Linked DNA regions of Canis lupus familiaris. The protein of the gene in region 3 purifies or fractionates together with the protein of the main gene of each other region. This does not show direct contact. Links are inferred from orthologs where the notes say so. Each region holds a gene or a part of one and is shown on either strand. Other genes may lie near its edges.

Region 1 (3,749 bases), on a different chromosome or scaffold from region 3:
AAAAAATAAAAGTAGAACTACTTTGGATTCACTAATTGCACTGCTGAGTACTCAAAATTTATGAAAACACTAATTCAAAAGGATCCATGTATCCCATGTTTATTGCAGCATTATTTACAATACCCAAATTATGGAAGCAGCCCACGTGTCCATTGATAGATGAATGGATAAAGATGGTTGCACATATACAATATAACTTTTTAAAAAAGATTTATTAATTCATGAGAGAGGCAGAGACACAGGCAGAGTGTGCTGGGGAGCAGGCTCCCCATGGGGAGCCCGATGTGGGACTTGATCCCAGGACCCCAGAATCACCCCCCTAGCCAAAAGCTATCTCAACCACTGACCCACCCATGTGCCTGAATATTTTTTTTTAATTTAAAGATTTTATTTATTTATTCATCAAAGACACACACACAGAGAAGCAGAGACATAGTCAGAGGAAGAAGCAGGCTCTCTGCAGGGAACCCAATGTGGAACTTGATCTGGGGACCCTGGGATCATGACCTGAGCCAAAGGCATAGGCTCAACCACTGAGCCACCCAGGCATCCCTATGCAATAGAATATTATTTGGCCATGCAAAAGAATGAAATCTTCCCATTTCCAACAACATAAATGGAGCTAGAAAGTATAATCCAAAGCAAAATAAGTCAGTCAAAGAGACAAATCCCATGATTTCATACATATATGGAATTTAAGAAACAAATGAGCAAAGGAAAAAAAGGAAGACAGAGACAAACCAAGAAACAGACTCTTAACTATAGAGAACAAACTGATGGTTACTAGAGGGAAGGTGAGTAGGGGGAGGGGAGAAACAGTTGAAGGGGATTAAAGAGTACAATTTTCATCATGAGCAATGAGTAATGTATAGAATTGCTGAATTACTATATTGTACACCTGAAACTAACAGAACACTATACATTAGCTAAACCAAAATTAAAAATTTAAAGAACAAAAACAAATAAAAGGAAGAGAGAACAAATGAGAGTATGTGATGGAATTGGTGTGTTTGGCGGGGGAGAGGCGGAGTCCGTAGTCCAGGCAAGGAATGATGGAGCTAGAGTAGAAGAAGAGAAGCAGATGGATTTAAGAAATATGTGTGGAGTTAAAACACTGGACTTGGTGATGGACTGGACATCTAAGGTGATGGAAGTTTGCAGTTAGCATGATTCCACAATTACTGGCTAGCATATCTTAATGGATAATGGTGCCATTCATCCAGATAGGGAACACCAAGAGGCCCAAATAGTAAAATAACAGATTTGCTTTGGGACATGTTAAATTTAAAATGCCTTTAAGGGGGCGCCTGGGTGGCTCAGTTTGTTAAGCATCTGCCTTTGGCTCAGGTCATGATGATGATGGGTCCTGGGGTCCAGCTCTGTGAGGCTCCCTGCTCAGTGGGGAGTCTGCTTCTCTCTCCCCCCCCCCCCACCCCCGCCGTTCACGCTGTCTCTCTCTCTCAAATAAATAAATAAAATCTTAAAAAAAAAAAAAAAATGCCGGGCAGCCCGGGTGGCTCATAGCTTTAGCTTTCGGCCCAGGGCGTGATCCCAGAGTCCCGGGATGGAGTCCCGTGTCGGGCTCCCTGCATGGAGCCTGCTTTTCCCTCTGCCTGTGTCTCTACCTCTGTGTGTGTGTGTGTGTGTCTCTCATGAATGAATAAATAAAACCTTTTTAAAAAAAATAAAATAAAAAATGCCTTTGAGGTATCAGGCAGGCAGACACACTATAGAGGTTTATTTTTCAGAGTAAAGGCGGCTCCGGACAAAGAAATTTACGAGCAACTGACATACGGTTGGTAATGAGACTGTGTTGGTCAAAGAGGGCCCAGAACATAACCTTGAGTAACCAAAAACGTACAACGAGGGACCTGCAATAAGACGAGGAAGACGAGCCAAACCAAGCCATAGAAGCCCAGAGAAGGGAGTGTTATCAGAAAGACGAAATGCTCAACACACCCAAACACTGCTGAGAACTCTGGTAGAGCTAAAAACGGAAAAGCGTCTGTTGGATTTAACGACTTGGAAGCACCGTTAACTTCAGCCCGGGTTCCTTCGACCGTGATCGAGGGAACGACGGACCGGGGTCTGTTAACGGGAGGTGAGCTGAAAACAGACAACTCTAGAGAAGTTTGGCTGTGGATGGGGGACAGGGAGGAGACAGCGTGGCCGGAGGAGGGAGACGCGGGACCATCGAGTTAATTTTGCTTCCTTCTCTTAAGTAGAAAAAACATGGGCATGTTTCAAAGACGACAGTAGAAATTCTCGGAGACGGTGATGATTCTGGGGAGTCACTCGACGGTCTCCCCCACCCCTTTTATCTTCTCCCGCGTTCTCTCCCCATCGCCTCCAGCCCCCCTTCTCCCTTTCCCACCCCCACAACCCCAGGGTCCCCAGCCACCCCGGCCTGCCGGTCCGCAGGCGTCTCCTCACCGCAATGGCCCCCTCGCTCAGGTGGCCCACCATGACTCCGCCGCGCAAACTCCCGCGCTCCAGCTCGTCAGCAGACCCCACTTCCCTCCTGGGGCCCCGCGCGCTCCAAAGCTATTGGGCCAAGGAGCTGCAGGCACCACCCCCGCCTACTGACATGCGCAAGGCACGGGGGCGGGCTTAGTGGCGGGGCAGCCGCCCCATTGGCCGAGGCGCTGCGAGCAGCCACGTGACACGCGGGAGCCCAGGCTGAGGCCCTAGTCACCCGACGGCTGCGCCAGGGGGCGGGGCCGGGGCGTGGGTCGCGCCAAGGATGACGCTAGCTCTTGCTCTGGGCCCTCGGTCTAGTCCCGGAAGCTTTCCGAGACGCGTCTCGGAAAAAAAACTTGGCTCGGCCTTTGGCTGACAGGCCTACTGGTCGCCCAGAAGAGAGAGCTGTTCCCTGATGACTGTGCTGCCAACGGTAGTCAAAGCACCAACCTGATTACTTCAGCAACCGAAACGCCGAGCTCCCCCCGTTGCTAAACCCCGAGCTTGGCCCATCGGGGCTTTTCCTAAGGTAAATAGGATCCGATCGCCGCCCTCGGGAGAAAGCGTAGTCTGTCGAGGGAGTTACCGCAGTGAGTAGCCTTAACTCAATGTAGACATGATATGGGCCTCAGAGGAGACATAAAGTGTTCCGTGCTCGCAGATGGAAAATCAGGGAAGGCTTCCTGGAGGAGGTGCTATTTGAAGTGGGTCTTGAAGGGGGTGTGTGCAGATTTGCCGAGTGGACGCTTAAGTGAGGATAGGGATGCTACCAGAAGGATGGCATGGCCTATGCAACAACTAGAGAGGCAAATAGCCTGGCAAGTTGGGGATAGCTTTAAGTAGCTCAGAATAATAGGGTACAGAAGAAGACGTGAGACTTGGGCCTTAGAAAATGAGCCCAGGGGTCGAATAGTGAAGGATTTGTACAGGGCTTCCCCAAAAGCTTGGAGGAGCTTTAAGTCAGAGGACCTACATCTGTCTCAATGTGGAAGATGAATTGAATGATCTGGGGATTGAAAGAAAAAACAGCTGTGTAAGAGATACATTTGTTAATTAAGTAGTAGGTGGAGAGAGAGAAAAATCTGTGATGTCTGACTTGAACAGCTTGGGAAGATGGAGGTCTGAGGCAAGCATGGTGCGTGGAACAAACTAGGCCTTCAGTAAATATTTCTGAATAAAAGGATTTTCGGTGAATAGGTGTGAGACAAAATAGATCCTCAGCATGTAAACTATGGAAAAAGACCACAAGAATTGATTTTGTTGCTTCATGTTTGCTGGAGTGAAAGGTT
Region 2 (3,749 bases), on a different chromosome or scaffold from region 3:
TACTTATTTATACCATTTTTCATCCGAAAACATCATTTATCATTTCATTTCTGGCACAGACACATTTCTTATATAAAAGTCAAGTTATAGTTTATAGTTTCTATTACCAAAACTTACTAAATCTTGGTAGTTTGTTTTTTTTTTTTAATGTGAAGATGAAAATATTCTGGACTTTTTGTTCTGGTTAAGGAGCTCCAGAAGCCAGTCTGTTTTGTAAACAGATATTTGTCAAGCAATGCAGCAATAGGTTGATCCTATTACTCTGCAAGGAGGTATGCAAAGAGGATCTTTCCCTTTGAAGGGGAGACACAGAATAGTTCCACTGTAAGTCAGCTACATCAAAACAGGGTGCATGACTATCTCAATGCTGTCCTCACAAATCTCAACAGACCATTCTTTATGCTACCAGCTTAACTACAGGTCCCCAAAATTTGACCTACAGCACTATTTTCTCAAATATCTGCCACCTCGATGCACACGTTTTATAATCTGAATCAAACTCACTTCTAGTTCATAAAAACTCAAAGTGGTCTAAATATTCTTAGTATTGTATACTGCCCCTGTGGGATTCAAAAACAAAACTGATTACTTGTTTACACTAGGAATTAAAGAAAAGGTAGCTTAAAAAAAGATACATTACTTGTAAATTTCTCAGACAAGCTAAAGTAAAAGCAATGTACAAAAATGAATCAAAATGCCCAAGACAAAATAGGTTTTGGCATAGTCAACTGAGTAAGCCAGTCAGGATTCTTGGTATCAAGCAGGACTAATACAGAAAGCATGGCCTACCCTCTCTCCTGACTGGTGCAATGTCCTAAATTACAAGACAAGTTACACTACAAGCCCTACCAACTTGGTTCTATGAATGACAGTAGAGCTATCCTCACTAATAGCCCGGTTCCAAAATTTACCCAAAAAATCTTTTAAGTCTTAAAGATCTCTATCTCTAATGAAGTGAAATCAGAATTAGGATTACATAACAAAGAAAATAAATGACAAAATTTATTTCAGTATTTTCAGCAAGTATTTCGAAAGTTTCACGAACAGCCAACAATTTGGCTACAGCAAAGATTAGACAAATCTGAACCAGTGCCACAAACTAAGCCCCCAGCTTTCGGACTGAGAAGCTCTCCGCCCCACCTGAGGCGGATAGATACTCGGAGACCGAGGCCAGTGTCTAAGCCGAAAGTTAGGCCTCTTCCTCCCTCCGGGAAGCGCATGACAAACAACGTCATGCAACTTATGTCACCCGGTCACTTAGCAAAAATCCTATCTAACTTCTAAACTTGGGTCCAGATGGCCATTTATACTCAAAAGAAATAGAAAGCAGCTAGATCATTGTGGGGGAGGAAGGCTTAAAATGCCCCACTTTCTGGCCCCTTTAAATATTCAGCCCATCATTAGATCGGAGTCCTAAATTCTAAGACTTACTTTAATGGAGGCCTCCCTCAACCTTCTCCATGTCTGTTTTGCAACAGTGAAGGAACTTTTCCTGCTTTATCTTAGTTCCCTGAGAGCATGCGGCCCTGCAATTCAATATCCTAAACTGGCAGGAACAGTGGAGGAGGCAAAGGGAGGAATCCACAGCCAAAATAGCCTTCTTATTAAAGACAAAAAAAAAAATCATAATTCCTCCTCCGCCCATAGCAAACCCATCCCAGAAATTTACAGCTTGTTAAGAAAGCAGCATTGCGAACTGCAAACGTAAGAGTTTTCCTTTGACTCTACGCACGGTTTTCAGCTGTCAAATTACAACTCAGGAAAACACTATCATTAGAATAAAAAAGGAAACAAAAAAGCTCGCACCATAGGAGCTGGGAGAAGGAGCTCACCAGCCCCATTACGGAAGAAGGAGAGCAAAGGGAATCCAATCCATTTCCCCACCCCCGCCTGAATTCATCCCCTCCCCGGGCAGGCAAACCTCACTGCAGGAGCTCAAATTTAATAATAATAACAATAATCATGGCGCTTCCATACCCCCCCCGCCCCGACGCGATCTGCCGGGAATCAGCCTCCCCCTCCCCTGGCATCTCCAGACTTGGCAGGTCCAGACTATCCCACCGGACACAGCTCCCGGGGGCCCGGGCGAGCCCGGTCTACCCCCGTGCCCCTCGCCCCGCTTCTCTTCTTCCCTCTCTTTTTACCTCCACCATCCCCCATCCGCATTGTCTGTCTCAATTCAACTTTGACTAATATGGATTCCTCGGGCCTGGGCCGGGCGGTAATTACAGCCCGCCCCCCCCCCGCCGGGAGCCCGATCCCCCCCCGCAATCATCTCCGCCGAGTTCAACGCGGCTCCTCGGAGGGAGACGGGGCGGGGAGGGGGGAGGAGGAGGTTGCAGCGCGCCTTCCCGTCTACACCGCGGGCACCGTCTCCACCGCGCTCCCCCCGCGGCCCCGGACCCCCGGGACCAGAAGTTTGCCCCGGAAGGGGCCTAGCCGGGGGCGGTGAGGCCCCCCCGCGCCCGCCGGCCGGCGCGTAAACACGGGCGCCCGCCCCGGCGCGGCCTCGTGGGGGAGGGGAGGGCGGGGAGGCGCCCCTCCCCCCGCCCGCCAGCCCGCCGGCCCTATTACCTGTCATTGAGCTGGTCCTCGGTGCCCGGCAGCGGGTGAACCACGAAATGGATGGACGTCATGGTGCTTCCTTCTCGTCCTCCTCCCGAGGACGGCCCCCTCCCGCTCTCGCCCACCCCCTCCGAGCCCCCTTCCCCTCCCCAAAACCCACTGCCGCCGCCGCCGCCGCCTCCCAGTCCCCAATGGAGGGAAGCGAATGCGCAGGGGCCGCCGCCGCCTCCCTGCCGGGCGTGTGTCCGCGGCCCGGCGGTCCGGCGGGGCGGGCAGGGGCGGATCAACACGCCACCCGCTCCCCGGCGACAGCGCGCGGGAGTGCGAGGCCGGCGGCCGGGACTCGGGGCGCGCCGCCGCCAGCGGCGGCCGGGCGTCGGGAGCGGGGGCGCTGGGGAGGGCGGAGAGGGGCGGGCTGCGGGCTGCGGGGACGGTGTGGTCCCGGCGGCGGACGGGGTCCGGACTAGGGAGGTGGGGAGGGAGATGAGCCCGCACCGCGCGTCACTGGCGAGAAGCCGCCGCCGCCGCCAGCACCGCCGCCGCCATCTTCACTTCTGCCCCAGTTTCTCCGTCTCGCAGGCTCCGCTCCCGAGCGGCGGGGGAGGGGCGAACGGGAGGAGGAGAAGGAGGGAGGAGACCGGCGGGCGGGGGCTCGGCTGCGAGGGGGCGGGGCTCCGGGAAACGGGCGCTAAGGCCCTTTCGATTGGGCGGCTCAACGTCGTCGGGCCACGGCGCTGTAAGGCGCGCGCCGATTGGTCGGTGCGGCCCCGAGCCCAGCCCCCCGGGGGGTGGGAGCGCTCCCGAGTGAGTGTTCCGGAGAGCACGTGTTAGGGAAGGAGGCGGCGCGGGGGAGCCCGCCGGGGCGGGGAAGGGGTCTGCGAGGGCGGCTGAGTGTGTGTCCCCGGGGACGTGGGAAGGAACGGGGGCTCTGCGCTCCTCGCTCTGATTTCCCTGGGGCGGTCCTAATCATCCTGCGGATCTTTAGGGGTTTTTTGTTGTTGTATCTCGCCCTTCATCCGCAGTTATATTTAAAGTGGAAGTGCAAAATCACTTAAGGGGCAAGGAATACACAGCCTTTTATTGGAGAAGTGAGGTAGTTATGTAAGGACCTTTCCAGAAGGTCCTATCGCAGGATCCGAGAGCTGACTTTGCAGCAACTTCTTTTATCACCCCAGTCTCCCCAG
Region 3 (3,649 bases):
TGAGAGTTCCTCAAATAGCAAGCTTCCACTTAAAACTGTAAATGAAGCCTGCTCATCTTCAAGCTCCATAAAATCTTACAGGACCCTCTGATCAACTTTTTAGTGCCTCATCTTCACTCTAGGAATGGACTAAGGATTTACAAAAGTTAGAAGAAAGCTTTCAAAAAGCAAAGGACTAAAATAAACAGACATGAAAACTAATTAACATGGAAGAAACCCACAAAATCCAAGGAATAGAAAGAAAATAAATGCTGGGGAAAAATTTGCCACCATAACAGACTATGATGCTATGAAATTACTCCTTAAAATTAACATGATTGCTAAGATACAAATTTCAATAGAGTAATTGGGAGCTGAGAAAGTCTACATAGTAAAACAAAAGCAAAGGTAAAAAAAAAAAAGAAACGTGACCAATAAACTTAAAAAGTGAAAGGAGTTAGGTGGCCAACTACCAGAAATTCCAGAAAAAAATAAAGAAAAGGGAAGGATCATAATTATCAAACAACAGCTAACCTCTGAGCTCTTACTATATTGTAGTCACAGTTCTAAGCACCTTATTATTTAATATTACTCTAACTCTGTGAAGCAGTTAGTACTTACATGTTCTTTTTATCAATAATGGAACTAAGCTATAGACAAATTAAGTCATACAGCCAATAAGCAGGAAAGCTAGAATCAATTGTAGGCAGTCTGACTCCAAAGTCCAAGCTCTTCACCCCTATCCCGAGATCTTTAAACTCACAATTCCAGATTCAAAAGGAAAAACAAATGCCCAATATAATGAATTAAAGCCCCACATTCATGGTAGAACTTCTTAACAGCAGAACTAAGAGTTGATGCAAAAAACTTTCAGAGAAAATAAATAGGTTATATATAAAAGGAATGAAAATCAGATGACATTTTATGTTCTCAATAGGAACATTGATTGCTAGAAGTCAACAGAGTAAAAACTTAATTTGATCTGAATATGATTTTGAATTTAGAATAATATAGCCACCCAAACTATCAGTTTATCATTAGACACCTTTCCTTAGGGAGCTAATGAAAGATGTGTTTAAGCAGAAGAGTAGTCCAAAAAAGATAAAGACATGGAATCCAGAAAAAATTCCAGGCTCCGCTTCAAGGAAACCATGATGGAATGCTACATGATTAGCTTTGAAGGGGATCCAGGAGACTAGCGAGCACAAAAACAATAGAGGGCTCAAGGAAGAAGTGTCCAGGAATAGGAGTGCCTCAGATTACAAAGTGGAGTGTGTAAAAATGTATGAGACCATGATACAGTCAAATAGTAATAGGGAAAAGAAAAGACAATTCTTAACTCAAGGAAAATTTTTAAAAGGTTTTCAGGAAAGGAAATAAAATCAGCAATGAATGATATTATTATAGTCATGATGTAAACTCTGACTTAAATAAAAAAATGAGATTTAATCAAATTATAAGGACTGAGGGTGAACACAGGTAGGAAATGTGAGGGAAATTCAAGAGATGATGTCTAAAACTGATAAACAAAAAACAAAACGTAAAAAGCCCTGAGAGAAAAAGCATATTATTCAGAAACAACTGAAGTAACTAACAGCTGCCTCTGAGAAATCAGACTTGAGAATAGAGAAGAACATGAGCTAGGGACTGAATTATTGATTTTTAGTATAAGCCTTTCAGTATCTCTTAAATTTTATTTTTTAAATGTCTCTTTGATTAAAGAAAAAACAACAAAGAAAACCTCCCAGATACGACAATAACCTTAACTTGGGTTTTGTGGTACATACTTTACCCGTAGGGAGGTCAGGAGTGTATATACTTCACATGCTCCGATCCAGGCCTTTGTTCCCTGCAACCTGTTATTAAGTTGAGAGGCACCCTGTGGATCAAAACCTTCCTTCCATGCATCTTCAATCATAGACTGAATTTTTGGAATGCAAGGAATTGACATACCTAAAATTATACAAGCAAACACATTACATGACAATTACTAAAGTACTAAATAGTATTAGTTAGTAGTACACCATGTGCTCTAGAGGACCTATAACACGGTTTTTAAGATCATTACTCTTGACATTTTCTATTGTATCATTTTCTCTTCTTCCAACCAGAATTCAGGTTTTAATGTAATTATCCACCAAAACACTTCTTCGTTACAGCTATTAATTGTATGTACTATATATGAATTCATTCCATATTATATGTACAGGTGATCCTTGAACAATGTAAGGGTTAGGAGCACTGACCCCTGACACAGTCAGAAATCTGCATACGTTTTGCTCCCCCAAAACTTTCTTAAAGATTTTATTTATTTACTTATTAGAGAGAGGGAGAAAAACATTGAGATATCACAAGCAGGGAAAAGTGGCAGAGGGAGAGGGAGACTCCTTGCAGAGCTTGATCCCAGGACCATATGAGCCGAAGGCAGACGCTTAACCAATTGAGCCACTCAGGCACCCTGTGCTCCCCAAAAACTTCACTACTAATAACCTACTGTTGACCAGAAGCCTCCCGAATAAATATAAAAGGAACAGTTGATTAACATATATTTTATGTTATACATATTATATACTGTATTCCTATAATAAAGCTAGAAAAAAGAAACTCATAAGGAAAAAAGTCATAAGAGAAATAAAATACTAGGCTGTAAAAACTCCATTTATAAAAATCCATGTATATGTAGTTCAAACTCATGTGTTTTAGAGGGCTTATGTTATCAGTGGACAAATTGAGAGAACTGTATTTCACATACCTTTCAAGCAATCATCATAAGCATCATTTTGCAGTAATGATGAAAGTAGCATCTGGAAATTTCTGTAACCACAACCCCAACCTTTGTCACCAAAAGATGAATGAAAGTGATCCACCCCTGTGGAAAGCCACACGCGTCTCACATCTGTGGCAGCATTCTGATAGTATCTATAAAGTGCTTCAATAATTCCTAAAATAAAAAAAAAGAAGATTTAGAAGGATAAGCTATCCTCTTCTATGGATAAGCTATCCTCTTCTATGGCTGTCTCATCTATTTCTAGTATCAGCCCCTCTCCACCCTCAAGTGCCCCATCTAAATCCTGTCAATTCCATCTTCTTTATCTTTTGACTGTTATAACCTTAGTTCATGTCTTTCTTGTTACTACTATGCAAGTTTTCCTGACACTAGCATGCTACTTACTTATTACACAGAATTGAAGCGGTTTACATCTTTCATTTCTGCACCTGCAAGGTGCACATAAAAGACAATCACTGAACTCTCACTTGAATGAGGGTAACTATGGGAAAATCAGTTTTGTCCTTAACAAGACAGAGCAAATAAGTCAAAACAATTGAATGAATGTTATACTTGTCTATTATTATACATAGTGTTGGACATTATGCTCTCTGAAGCTCATCAATTTGCTCCCAATTTAAAACCTTTAGTAATGGGATCCCTGGGTGGCGCAGCGGTTTAGCGCCTGCCTTTGGCCCAGGGCGCGATCCTGGAGACCCGGGATCGAATCCCACATCGGGCTCCCGGTGCATGGAGCCTGCTTCTCCCTCTGCCTGTGTCTCTGCCTCTCTCTCTCTCTCTGTGTGACTGTCATAAATAAATTAAAAATATATATATAAAAAAATAAATAAATAAAACCTTTAGTAATTTCCTATTACCTATAGAATGGTTATAATCCATGGT

What was found.
Region 1: the proteins of ZUP1 (region 3) and RPA1 purify together in Homo sapiens (affinity purification with western blotting; 4 studies listed by BioGRID, with this or other methods). This does not show direct contact. The link is inferred for Canis lupus familiaris from reciprocal best matches to the Homo sapiens genes ZUP1 and RPA1.
Region 2: the proteins of ZUP1 (region 3) and UBR5 purify together in Homo sapiens (affinity purification with mass spectrometry, with the first as the bait; 3 studies listed by BioGRID). This does not show direct contact. The link is inferred for Canis lupus familiaris from reciprocal best matches to the Homo sapiens genes ZUP1 and UBR5.

Annotation. Positions count from the first base shown.
Region 1 is NC_049230.1:45,903,447-45,907,195, reverse strand, and holds the start of RPA1 (replication protein A 70 kDa DNA-binding subunit), read right to left. Parts: upstream 2,589-3,749; 5' UTR 2,467-2,588; coding exon 2,434-2,466; intron 1-2,433. UniProt on the Homo sapiens protein: As part of the heterotrimeric replication protein A complex (RPA/RP-A), binds and stabilizes single-stranded DNA intermediates that form during DNA replication or upon DNA stress.
Region 2 is NC_049234.1:4,153,874-4,157,622, forward strand, and holds the start of UBR5 (E3 ubiquitin-protein ligase UBR5), read right to left. Parts: upstream 2,718-3,749; 5' UTR 2,637-2,717; coding exon 2,575-2,636; intron 1-2,574. UniProt on the Homo sapiens protein: E3 ubiquitin-protein ligase involved in different protein quality control pathways in the cytoplasm and nucleus. Mainly acts as a ubiquitin chain elongator that extends pre-ubiquitinated substrates.
Region 3 is NC_049222.1:57,641,170-57,644,818, forward strand, and holds part of ZUP1 (zinc finger-containing ubiquitin peptidase 1), read right to left. Parts: intron 2,921-3,649; coding exon 2,732-2,920; intron 1,933-2,731; coding exon 1,767-1,932; intron 1-1,766. UniProt on the Homo sapiens protein: Deubiquitinase with endodeubiquitinase activity that specifically interacts with and cleaves 'Lys-63'-linked long polyubiquitin chains. Shows only weak activity against 'Lys-11' and 'Lys-48'-linked chains.